Coturnix japonica: one gene and its partners. The protein of the gene in region 1 interacts with the protein of each later gene in a biochemical or structural test. Links are inferred from orthologs where the notes say so. Each region holds a gene or a part of one and is shown in the gene's direction. Other genes may lie near its edges.

Region 1 (4,254 bases):
CATAAGTACCCCATAGACCCCATGAGTACCCCATAGACCCCATAAGTACCCCATAGACCCCATCACTATCCCATAGACCCCATTATATCCCATAGACCCCCATTATACCCCATAGACCCCCATTATATCCCATAGACCCCCATTATACCCCATAGACCCCATAAGTACCCCATAGACCCCATTACTACCCCATAGACCCCATACCCATCCTATACACACACAATTACTACTAATTACCCATTAATTCCAACCGTTTAACCCTAATTACCCCACAATGACGCTATAATTACCCACTATTACCCCACTACCACTAATTACCCAATAATTACCCCTAGTTACGCAATAATCACCAATTAATTGCCCCTAATTACCCCTAATCACCCCCAGCTGTCATTGATCCCCACGAATTCCCCCCAATTCCCACTAAATCCCACTAATTCCCCCATTTTTACCCCCCTAATTAGCACCGATTCCCACTCATTATCTCTCAGTTCTCAGTAATTATCCCCAAATTACCCATACTCCTCACTAATTACCACCCCCATTCCCACCGATTCTCACCAATTATCTCCAATTATCACTGATTCCCATTAATTACACCCTCAATTCCCACTAATTCCCGGTAATTATCCTTAAATACCCTCAGTTGCCACCAATTACCCAATTCCAACTACTTACCCCTAATTCACCCTAATCACCCGATTCCTGCTAATTATCCCCAATTCCCATTAAATCCCACTAATTGATCCCCAGTTCCCAACAATTACACCCAATTACCCCCTATCCACACCAATTACCCCACAAAATCCCATTAATTACCCCCAGCTCCTACTAATTGCTTCAGTTACCCCCACAATTACCATCAATTACCCCCAATTCCCACTAATTTACCCCTACAGCCCCAATTCCAACCCTCATCATTCCCTCAATCCCCCAACTCCCCCCATCCCCCGTTAATTCCCACCTATTCCCCAAAGATCCTCCCAGTTTCCCACTTCCTTCCAGTCCTCCCATTCCCTCCTGATCCCCCAATTCCCAGTTGGGGTTGGATTAGGGCTGGGATGAGGGTTAGAGTTGGTGTAGGGTTTGGGCTGGAGTTGGGGATGGGGTTGACATTGGGGTTGGGGTTGGGATTATAGTTAGTGCGGGGGTGAAGTCTGGGAATGGGTTTGGAGCTGGCTTAGAGCTGTTGTTGGTGTTGAGGTTGGAGTTGGGTTGGGGATGGAGTTGACATTGGGGTTTGGGTTTGAGTCTCAGTTGGGTCTGGGTTTGGGGTAGGGTTGAACCTGGGTTTGGGTTGGGAGTGGGTTTGGGGTTGGGTTGGGGTGAGGGTTGGGTTGGAGTTGTGTTGGGGTTGGGGTTGGGGTTGGCTTTAGGGCCAAGAAGGAGAACTGTTGTCACCCTCTGATTCATAAGGAAGGAGCAATACTCAGTGTGGTCCCGTTATTGAAAACCAAATAACACCACCACAAAATCCCTCAAAAGAAGCATTTTTGCCCCAAAACACACATTTTCTTTCTCTCCTTCTTTCTCTCTTTCTTCCCCTTTTGCTCCCATTTTGCCATGACATTTCCAAGCACTGAACTGTGATCCTGTGGTCTCCTCTTTTCCTTTTGGCACCGACCAACCATGGTGGATCCCCTTCCTCCCCCCATGGCTGCAGGGCAGCGATAGCAGCTCCCGGCTGTGGTTCCTGGGTGGGTGCATCCCTGTGCTGCTAAAGGGCCAAAGTCGCTCCGAGTGTCGTTAACTAACGAGGCAGTTCTGATTAATGATTGATGGCGGGCGGGCGCTAGGACCGCTGGGACACCACATCTCTGTAACCAGAAGAGAAATCAGGAAATAACGCCCGGCTCTGCCTGCGCCCTTTGGAAATCACACAGCGCTGCAGGAGGAGTTGGTTGGTTGTCCAGGACTGTGGCTGAGTGACCCCACGGCTTCACGGCTCCAAAGCATCACAGCCCCGTATGGACACGTCTGGGGGTAAGTGAGATGGGTATGGGGTGAGATGGGTGTGGGGTGAGATGGGTATGGGGTGAGATGGGTGTGGGGTGAGATGGGTGTGGGGTGGAGGCACTGTGCTCAGTGCAGACCAGCCTGTTTGCAATGAACATCCACCAAGTGACCCTTCATAGCACCACAGGATGACTGAGGGTGGGCGCTGCACTGCAGTCCCTGGTCTGAGCAGCAACCCGTGCCCACCCGCTGCAGGGGGCGGTGGGGAAGTGGGTGGCTGTGTGCCATCAGTCCATCCTCACCTTTCTGCCCACTCACTGTGCTCGTGGCTCATGGATGTCCATGGGCTGAGTGTCCCCAAATTTGAGGACTATGGGATCTCTGTCAGCTGGGCGTCCCAGGAGCAAACTGTAGGATGAGCTGCACCCACAGGAGTGTGACTCACCATGGCTGAGTGCTGCCCCACGCCGGGCGCTGTGGGTCCACATCTGCTCCTTGTCACGGGGCTCAGCGCAGTGACGCAGAGTGATGGTGACTCACCTGCAGAAAGAGGAACGGAGCAATGGGTGTCATTGGCACTCCAAGGTGTGGAGCTCCATCCAGGACCAGATTCTCTTGCAGGGTGATGCCAGGCACAATGTCTGGGTGGGCACTGTGGGCTGTGCTGGGACAGCAGGGGAGAACGGGGACCCTGCAGATGTGAGACACCCATCAGTGACCCCATGGGGGCAGTCAGCCCCTCACTGCTGCATTGCAGCCCAGCACCCCGCGCCTCTCCCAGCCCCACGTCTCGTGGCCCTGACAGCTGTGAGCCGCAGACAGGAGATGAGAGTGCGAGTTCCTGCCAAAACCACACGGTGCTGCGATGGCCTCACGTGGCATCGGGCCCTGCTGTGCGAGGTGGGGGGTGGGGACCAGGCTGTGGCTCAGCCCCATTTCTTTATGTTTCTGTTTGGTTTCTTCTCTGCAGGTGACACTGGGAGCAGACAGCAGTCCCTGATGCGCTGACAGATGATCATGTCCAGGGTGAGCAGGGCTCACTGTCCCCTCCTGCACTGAACTGGCACAGGGATGTGACGCTGGGGCATCCACCAGGACATTGTCCCCATCCCTTGTCACCACACGGTCCTTCCAGCTGGGGCTGACCTCGGGCTGAGCATCCCGGTGACGCTGCCTTCTTCCTGCAGAAACATTGGCCTGCGGGGACGCAGTGCGTCACCAAGCACGACCACACCAAGCCCAAGGCTGGCGAGCTGGCCTTCCATAAGGGAGACGTGGTCACCATCATTGAGGCTGTGGAGGTGACCCCTGGGGCCGCAGGGCTGGCTGTGCTGCTGGGGCCGGGACCCCCTTCCTGGTGGGGTGTCCCCTTTCTGAGCCCATCCCACCCACAGGGCAGGAGTTGGTACCGTGTGCGGCACAATGAGAGCGGGCAGGAGGGGCTGCTGGCGGCCGCAGCGCTGCGGGAGCGTGTGGCCATCCGTGCTGACCCCAAACTCAGCCTGATGCCGTGAGTACCGGCGGCTCCAGGGGGTCCTTTGCCCCACAGCCCCCCAACCCCACATCCCTATTCCCAGCTGGTTCCATGGGAAGATCTCAGGGGTGGAGGCGGTGCAGGAGCTGCAGCCCCCCGAGGACGGGCTGTTCCTGGTGCGTGAGTCGGTCCGGCACCCCGGTGACTACGTGCTGTGTGTGAGCTTTGGCAAGGAGGTGATCCACTACCGTGTGCTGCACCAGGACAACACGCTGAGCATCGACAACGAGCAGTACTTCTGCAACCTCATCGACATGATCGAGGTGAGGGCCTCGCTGTGCCCTGGCTGCTGCCAAATATAACCCTGGCTCTCCCGCTTCCAGAAAGCTCTTCCTCCAGTTCTGCCTCTGCCCCAACCCACAACTGCTCCATGCCCCTGCTCTGGGAATTCCTGCTTCCAGATGGTTTCCACATTTAGACACAACTTCTGCTTTCAGATGGTCCTTTTCCCCTTTCATCTACCGCTGCTTCTGCTGCGTCTCTGCAGACAGCCCCCTCCATGTCCCCCCCTCAGTGGGGACAGGCTGCTCCATTGCTGTGTGCCCTGACTGCACCCCCTGCCCCGTCCTGCAGCACTACACGGAGCAGCAAGGAGCCCTCTGCACCAAGCTGGTGAAGCCCAAAGCCAAGAGCGGGATGAAGTCGGCCGAGGAGGAGTTGGCCAAAGGTGGGAGGGGGTGAGAGGCAGCTCTGGGGGAGGAGGTGCCTCTGGTGCCTTCTGACCCATCCATGTGCCGTGCAGCTGGATGGCTGCTCAACCTGCA
Region 2 (4,347 bases), on another chromosome or scaffold:
AGCTAATTGGGTGGATATCATTAATGCCGGCGGTCAGAGCCGCTGCTAAAGGGCCGCTGTGCAGTGATTGCTGGAGCGTTTCATCTGTGCTATACACAATTGAGTTTTGCTCCCCATGAATGAACTTCATGCCCTGCACATCACAGGGCAAGAGCTCTGCCCTGGGCTCCAGCAGTGCCCTCGGTGTCCCACAGCACTGCATTGCTCTCTGAGAGGTGTGGGCTTAGTGGCACCGGGCACAGCTGGGACCCTGCATCCACAGCCCTGTGCCATGCAGGTGCAATGCAGGTGCAATACACACACAGTGCACACACACAACAGGCTCCCCACAGACACCCACTGGTGCTCACTCTGACTTCATTGGGCAGCATTGAGGTACAGCCACCACGGCCCAGGGAGCACAGCGAGCGTTATCTGCTGCTGCAGCCACGGATGCACTTCTGTGATAACAATTTGCCATCAATAAAGAACTCGGAGAGAATACGGAAACAAACAACAGAAAGCTGAAGAAAATCAAAGTGCTGTCACTGCTGAGCTGAGCACACAGGGCTGCAGACAGCATCACCACCCACAGCATCCCTGAGCTCTGCAGCCACGAGGTGCAGGATTGGCCCCTCTGCTGCTTTGTGACCTAGTCCCAGTGCATCCCCTGGCACTGTGGGACCTCAGCACCCACAATGGGACAGCAAAGCCTCCTCCAGAGCCAGATACAGGACCCTGCTCACCAGCTGACACCGACCCAGTGCTCACATCATTGTGTCCCCACCAGCTCCTGTCCCTGCAGCTGGCTTTTCTCACCATGGCAGCAGTTCAGCCCAAACCCAGCATCCCTCTGCTCCCAGGGCAGGCTGCCAGGCCAGGGCAGGATGTAGAACACCTTTCCTGCTGTGACACAGCCTGGTAGGAATTCCCCCTTGGAAATGTGTAGGGCTGTGTTAAGGAAGCCTGGTGGAGTTACCCCAGTGCCAGCACCTCTCGGCTGGAGCATCCCACGTGCACTGCAGGGACATGGATAAATAAACCCTGTAACATCACCCAGCGCATCATTTGCAGCACCAACATCCTCCCCTCTTCCTCCACACATCGAGCAATCAGAGCTAAACTGCTCCATAAATACCTCTTTATGGACTTCAAGAGCACCGCCTGGCCCTGGCAGAGCACTCCAGTAGTGCCAGGATGGAGAGGGCTGTGATTAGGAATTTGGCTCCTGCCCTGTCTGTCCTGCTGTGACTGGGAGCAGTGAGCACAACTCATCACTGTGAGGTCTCAGGAAGGACCTGCAACATCCCAGCATAGTTCTAAACCATCCCATAAAAGCATAAACAAAGCAGTTCTTACAAGCAGCTCCCCCCACCCCAAGCTCTGTTTTAGGTGAAGGATTTTGGCTCCATAGGAGGAAACCAGCAGCCCCCATCCTGCTTTACTATGGACATCACAGCTGCACTGGGGTCATAATGAAGCACCTGCAGCTCATTAATGTGGCATAAAGGGGTTCCCAGGTGCCACACTATTTCTTTTTCCAGCTGGGTGCTGCAGGGAGGACACACAGTGAGTGGGTATGATGCACTTTGCTCTCATCAGTGGGTATTTGTTGTGCTGTGCTGCTCTTCTATCGGTGTCTGTTGCTTTTAGGGTCCAGCTTGGGTGCATCTGCATTCTGCCTTGTGCACACGGGCTGAAGGTTGCTGCTTCCCATCCCCATGTTGGCATATTGCTTGTTAGAAGTTAACATCAGATAAACTAATTTAAGCTCCTTCTGTACTGGATGTCTTGGGCTAAGTTGGCATGGTACCTAATGAAGCTGAAGCTCCATTTGTTGTGCTGGAAGCCCTAAATATCAGTGGTGTAATTGGAAATCCCTCCTTAAGGAGATGTTTGCGTGCTTTTCTCTCAGCTGAGGGCCCTGCAAGGGCTGAACCCACAGCCTGGGGGTGATGGGGGAAGCAGTGGGGGGTTCTACAGGATGTGTGCCCCCAATGTGGGGCTGTGGGTCAGGATACAACTCTGTGGCTCTGAGCTTCTGTGGATCCCTGCAAACCTGTGTGCTACGTGTGTGCTGTTGGTGGTTGCTGGCTGCATGGGGATAGCTGTGATGCTGCTGTTGGGCTCGATATGGAGATTTGCTTGCAATCCTCCCTTCAAGGTGATGCTGATGCTCCAGCTGTGGTGCACCCTGACCCACCTTGAGGAAGTTGTTGCTTCAAAGCAATGGAGAATGATCCCAAACCCTTCCTTACCCCCAACAGCAGCTCCCAGGGGCTGGGATATGGTAGTGTGAGCCTGGAGAAGGGGTTGTGCTCTGGAGCATGGGGTTGCCACGGGTGCAACAACACAACAGTGCTGCAGAGCCTCCTGCTCACATGCACAGGGAACCACTTGTGATGGTGTCACATCTCCAAAGCACCACGCTCCCGTTTCTCTGCCTCCATCACAAGGGCTGCTCCCCAGCCCGGCTTCTCCAAACCCCGCATTCCAGCTCAGGGCTGCAGGCAGCAGGGAGGCAGCTCATACTGCCCATATGCTCCATAACATTAGAGCAGGAGCTGCTCTTCCCGGGAAGCTCGCGCCTCACCATCTGCTGTACCGTGGTACCTCCTCTTGCAGAGCTTTTTTAAGCTCCAACTTTCCTTCCCAAGCGCTCTGATTGCGCATAGGGCTGTCTGTGCTCCGTGATCATGGGTTTGTCTGTACCTTCAGTGCTGAGTAGAACAGCCCAGACAGGCTGTAGGCAGCCGGGCCCTCAGGAGCTGTGCTGCTGCTTCAAAAGAACCTGGATTGGAGGCAGGGCTGCGTCCCACCACCGCCTTGCCTTGCTCTGCTGGTGCAACTCCCAAACATGGGATCCAAGGTGCTACAGACCAAACCGTAGCCGATCCCGTTTCCTTTTCCCCATGCAAAGAGCTGATTTATCACCACGTTGCCTGTGTAAGAGGCCGAAAGCCAAACCTTGCTTCTGGCTCATGTGCTTGCCAGATGTGGGAAGGGGAAATGAGGCAACAGCTGTGCTGGGCTCTTGGGAGCTCCCTGGGAACAGCGATGGTTGGAGCTGCTCTGAGGGTGCAGGGGTGCAGCACAGCTGTCCCAAGTCCAGAGCAAGTGAGGTCACTTAAAGCTGGTTGTAATACGTGGGTGTATGTCATGCCCCTGTACCAGCAGGGCCGAGGGGGAGGCTTGCAGCACTAATGAGAATGCAGAGAACACACCCGGGCTGAGCAGTGTGCAGACTGATGGTGCCAAGACACTTCAGCTATCTTTGCTGTTTGTTTATGTGAAGCTCTAAATAAAGCCGACAGCCCCAGCGGCTGCTGGAGAGCGAGTTGGAGCTGATGCCTGTGGTGGTCCCAGCGTGGCTATGGCTGCTGCCCTTGGGTTGTGTCCTGTGCTGGGTGCTGCTCAGCTCCTGCCTGCAGGACAGTTTGCCATCCCTGAGTGAGTAGAGCACTGGGAGCTGCCAGTGATGCCCAGGTGTAGGGAGTGTGGCTGAGTGTAGTGCTGGGCATCAGGATGGTTCCTGGCCTTGAAGTGCCATGGGGAGGAACTGCAGCAGGAGCTGATAGTGGAGGATGTGTCTCCCCTGGGAGAGCCTGTATTGGAGCAGCAGGGATGTGCATCCCATGGGTGCTTTCTCCCTCAGCTCTATTTCTCATGGTGGTCACCTTGTCCTCATGCTATCACCGCTTTAGGCTCCCATCCTCTATGGTGGATGCTCCTGCTAAGCCTGTTGGGTGAGGGGACACACCAGGGATGTCTGTCTCATGAACTGGTGCAGGGATGGGATATAAGGACTTCTCCAACCTGCTCTGGGGTCCTCTCTTTGCTCAGTCTGACCCTGATAGACATGGAGTCTCCAAATCAGCCACTCATGCTTCTGCCATGAGCCCTCCTGGCTTGGCTGCCGGCACTGCGAGCTCTCTCGGATGGCACTAAACACCCACTGCATTTAGGAGCACTGTGTATCCCCACCACCTCCGTGCTTTCCCCGGTAACCCCACCGTAACAGCACCGGGCTTTGTGCCACGCTGTGAGCTGCCCGTGGCCATCGGAGCAGCTCCAGCCACCGCATCCCACCCCGTGCGGGCGCTGCAGCAGCTGCCCCATCCTCACCCGCATCCTTCCGTGGGGGGGGGGGCTCCCTCCGGCCCACCTTAAGAAGGCAGCTGCCGGTGTCCCGGGGGGAGCTCCCACCCACGACTTTGCCAGGAGCCAGGCGGTGCCGGGCTGCGGGGAGCCCCGCCGCTACCGGGGCCGCTCTCGGTGTCAGGGCAACGGAGGCGGCGCTGCGGAGGGGCGGTGCGGAGCGGAACGGCCCCGGGGCCGCTCGGGGCCCGGCCAGGTCCGTGCGATCCG
Region 3 (3,591 bases), on another chromosome or scaffold:
AAGCAATTGCACATCCACCCTGAGGAAGAGCTGGGCTGTGTCTTTATGTCTTTTCCTTTATGAGAACCCTTTGGAGAGCCCTGCAGCACCGTCTGCATCACGCTGTGGCTCAGCCAGAAGTGCCCTATCACAGGTTGGAGGCTGGCTGCAGCCAATTGTTTGTTCTTTTCAGAAACTACACGGTGGTGAATCCAGAAAAAGGGGTCATAGAAGTGGAGAGGATGAGCTGCCCCGGCATGAAGCTGTGCTGCCAGCTGAAATTTCAGAACACACTCTGGGCTGCTACGGAGGTAAGGCCGTCTGTACCCTGCTCAAGTGCTCCTCCTCGCAAGGCATGGAAACCTATGGCCTCTTCAGTCAATAGAACTAAGAGTGCTGGAGACAACAGAGCTGAGCACCTGCTGCCTCATGGGGTGTTGGTGCTGCATGCTGTTTGGCTGACACTTAGAGCACGGTTGTGTCTCCTTGTGTTCAGAGCAGTCATGGGAATCTCGGCTGCCCGAGGTGAAACTGCTCCAGTTGGGGCATATCTGCACCCAGTGGTTCCGTCTGGGAAATATCCTTATCTCTGAGTGATAAATGGGAGCAGTGAAAGAAACCATGCATTGTGGGTGGGGTTGTAAAACAGGGCCGAGGGATTTGGAATCTGGTGGGAAATGGGCACCCAAGTGCAGCGTTCACCATGGAAAACCACAGCTGAAAAGATAAGAGTGGGAGAGCATGGCTGGCTTATCTCTGAGCCTGTATCCGCCCATCAGAAAGGGCTGTGTTAAGTGTCAGCCTGTTCTGCACAACCATTTGACACAAAGCAAACAAAACATAGATGAAACAAATGGGAATGTTCCCAAAGTTCAGTTTCGGGGTTGAGGGGCAGGAGGCCACGTGTGCAGAATAAGTAATCCATGTTGGTGAATTCACATGGCTGGAGTATGGAAGCTGGAATGGAGTGAAGGTGTGTATCTTTTTCCCATGTTGATAAATAAGGTATTTGACTTTTCTATCCACTCAAATTGAGGCAGGGTTCACATATTCCTTGTAACTCCAGTATTATTAGTCTGAACCGATGGGTGAATGCTAAAGAGCACAAAACGTATCTCAGTTGTCCTGACACATTCATGGTTTGTTCAGAGTTGGGGTTACCAATGCTGGTTTCAGATACACTGCTGTAACAGCTGGAGTGCTGAGTTTAGTTGGCTTTGGGTCACAGTTGGTTCTGGGGAGGGCAGCCCCCAGGTTCTACCCATAGGCTAATGGCCTCCAGAGAAAACAAAGGGAAATCCAGGCTTTGCGTAGGAAAATATACAAATAAAAACTGTTTGGGATTCAGTTATCAAAGGGTAAAAATCATGAGAAGCAAAGGAAATTCATTGAATTTGGTGTGTTCTTCCACAGGACCAGAAGATCTCAGTGTACAGGCTGCAGGGCATGTGTCCTCTGAAGGCCCCGCAGAAGGGTTTGGACTCTCCTGCTGCTGTCAGCTGCTTCCTGGTGATTCCTGTTATCAAAAAGGTATGGGGGAATCCTAGCTCCAGCTTGAGAAGGGTGTGTTAGTGAAGCCAGGCTAGAAGGCTTGTGCCACTTGTCACCAGCCAGCATCAAAGGTGTTTGCTGTGTTTGGTAGTGCAGGAAGGTGGGTTTGGCTCTTGGTGTCTCTACCAGCAGAGTGAGGGGCAGAGGTGTAGGCATGAACCTGCATCAAGGGACCGGAGCTGGCACTGCAAACTCTGCCAGGATAATAGTCCAAACAGATCAAATTCCCATGCAAGGAAGTTTTCCAGCCGTGTTTCCACATCACTGCATGGCAAGGTTTAGGCTGATCAAGCAAGGTCGAGGGGATGTGAATGAGTAATTAGTATAGAGATTTGTTAACTGTTAATGCAGGGCTTGGGTATACTCTGGCTCCTGCTCTCACTCTTTCCCTGGCACGTGTGCATGCTGTTGTTTGTGTGCACAGTATTACCTACACTTCTTTCTGGTTTTGGATGAAAATGCTTAGGTCATAAATGCAGTCTATGAGCTGCCACCTATGACTAATAAAACGCTGTATGCTATCTAGCTGGTTGTGAAACTACTACCATCCAATTACTGGCAAGAGGAATCTGACATTACTGCCTATTGCGGGCAGGGCTGAGGGATGTACAAAAACTGCTCTGGGCTAAATTACCTCCGGTTTGTCTACAGCACCTCGAGTGAAAACACATAATTATACTCCAACGTTAATGGTGACCATGAAGTTTTTGCAGATGCCAGTGGGCTGTCTAAGGCTAAAAGCTCAACACGGAGCAGCTCTCATGGCAGCCGTGGAGCTGTTTTATACCGCGTGTCTGTTCCCGTTGTTGTCCATTTCTGGCTGGTCTGCTCAGACTGCTGTCTGCATCCAGGGCGGATGGTTAGTGTAAGGTGTACCACTTGACTTCCAAACATGGTGTGAGGAGGACTGAAGAAGGGCACAGAGCTGAAGTTGGCGGAGGGACGAGTTTCAGCCGCCTCTTGGCTTTCTTTGGCTCCCACGTCTGCAGTGTTTCTCCACTGTGCAGTTTCATTTCTGACGTGTAGGGCAAATTTCTTTTTCGTGCTGCCTGAGGTTTTGTCCAGGATAGTCGAACGAGTCTTTTTGCTTTTCAGCTTTTCCACTGTCACACAGCTTGCAAAGCCATTCCTTAGGGGTTACGAGTGGCTTTATGTCTCCTGGTTTCTATTTTCAGTTTGTGGCTTGCCTAGAAAATGTCATAAATAATGCCAGGCTCTACAATAGTAATATTGAGTCTAGACACCTCCCTTCCTCCCCCGACCCTACCCAACCTTCCAGCAATCCACATCCCTTTGCTGCTCTCCTTGCTTTATTGCACTTACTTTTTCCTCTCTCCTTTCTATGAATGAATTTGGCAGTGAAACAGCCAGAGCAGCAGCCGTGGGGATGTGCAGACCAGGCTGGCAAGAAACTAAGCCATTTTTTTGAAGCAGCCAGTTCTTCCCATAAAACAAAGCGGAAAGCTTACACTTGTCAAACTCACTGTACAGCACAGCGAGTTGTATCTGAGTTATCACATGGTAATTATTGCCTGGTGCAGGGAAGAATTGCTCTCGTTTCCCTGGGTAGAAAGCCTTCAGCTGTTGAGATGTGAGGTAACTCGCAGTCAGAGAGCTGCTGAGGGATGTTGCTGGGAAGGGGAATTCTTTATGACTGCCTTGGGAAGGCTGATCCAAAAGAAACAATTTCCAAAACTCAGTTTCTCATCCAAAGGAAGCATCATGGAAACTTCAAGGCAGCAGAGAGGGGCCCAGGATCCAAATCTCACCCGCCAAGGAAAAGTTTTGTACAATTTGAGCTTTTTTGTTGTGTGGTTTCTGGGGGAGAGAGAGATGTGTATGGGTGCGAGCCTCCAGCCTCCTGCAGCAACCTGGAACAGATGAAAACAAAAGCTGCATTTAAAGGCTGCAGTACTCAGTGCCAGCAGCGCCAGACCTTGTGGGAAGGAGGGAGGAGGTGACCGAGGCCATTTTTGGTTTTAACCTGCTCCTTGTGGCCGTCCCAGCTGCTCCTGTCCTTAACCGTGAGGACAGAACGTCTGGAGCCAGCTCACCCTCTGT

Evidence for each region.
Region 2: the proteins of MATK (region 1) and tyrosine-protein phosphatase non-receptor type substrate 1-like form a complex in vitro, tested with the Homo sapiens proteins (3 studies listed by BioGRID, with this or other methods). The link is inferred for Coturnix japonica from reciprocal best matches to the Homo sapiens genes MATK and SIRPA.
Region 3: the proteins of MATK (region 1) and LRRK1 form a complex in vitro, tested with the Homo sapiens proteins (2 studies listed by BioGRID and IntAct, with this or other methods). The link is inferred for Coturnix japonica from reciprocal best matches to the Homo sapiens genes MATK and LRRK1.

The regions. Positions count from the first base shown.
Region 1 is NC_029543.1:406,788-411,041, forward strand, and holds the start of MATK (megakaryocyte-associated tyrosine-protein kinase), read left to right. Parts: upstream 1-1,423; 5' UTR 1,424-1,983; intron 1,984-2,926; 5' UTR 2,927-2,967; coding exon 2,968-2,982; intron 2,983-3,143; coding exon 3,144-3,257; intron 3,258-3,350; coding exon 3,351-3,466; intron 3,467-3,533; coding exon 3,534-3,753; intron 3,754-4,063; coding exon 4,064-4,157; intron 4,158-4,232; coding exon 4,233-4,254.
Region 2 is NC_029535.1:9,231,939-9,236,285, forward strand, and holds the start of tyrosine-protein phosphatase non-receptor type substrate 1-like, read left to right. Parts: upstream 1-1,469; 5' UTR 1,470-1,556; intron 1,557-4,019; exon of another isoform or gene 4,020-4,347. UniProt on the Homo sapiens protein: Immunoglobulin-like cell surface receptor for CD47. Acts as docking protein and induces translocation of PTPN6, PTPN11 and other binding partners from the cytosol to the plasma membrane.
Region 3 is NC_029525.1:15,890,695-15,894,285, forward strand, and holds part of LRRK1 (leucine-rich repeat serine/threonine-protein kinase 1), read left to right. Parts: intron 1-172; coding exon 173-290; intron 291-1,392; coding exon 1,393-1,509; intron 1,510-3,591.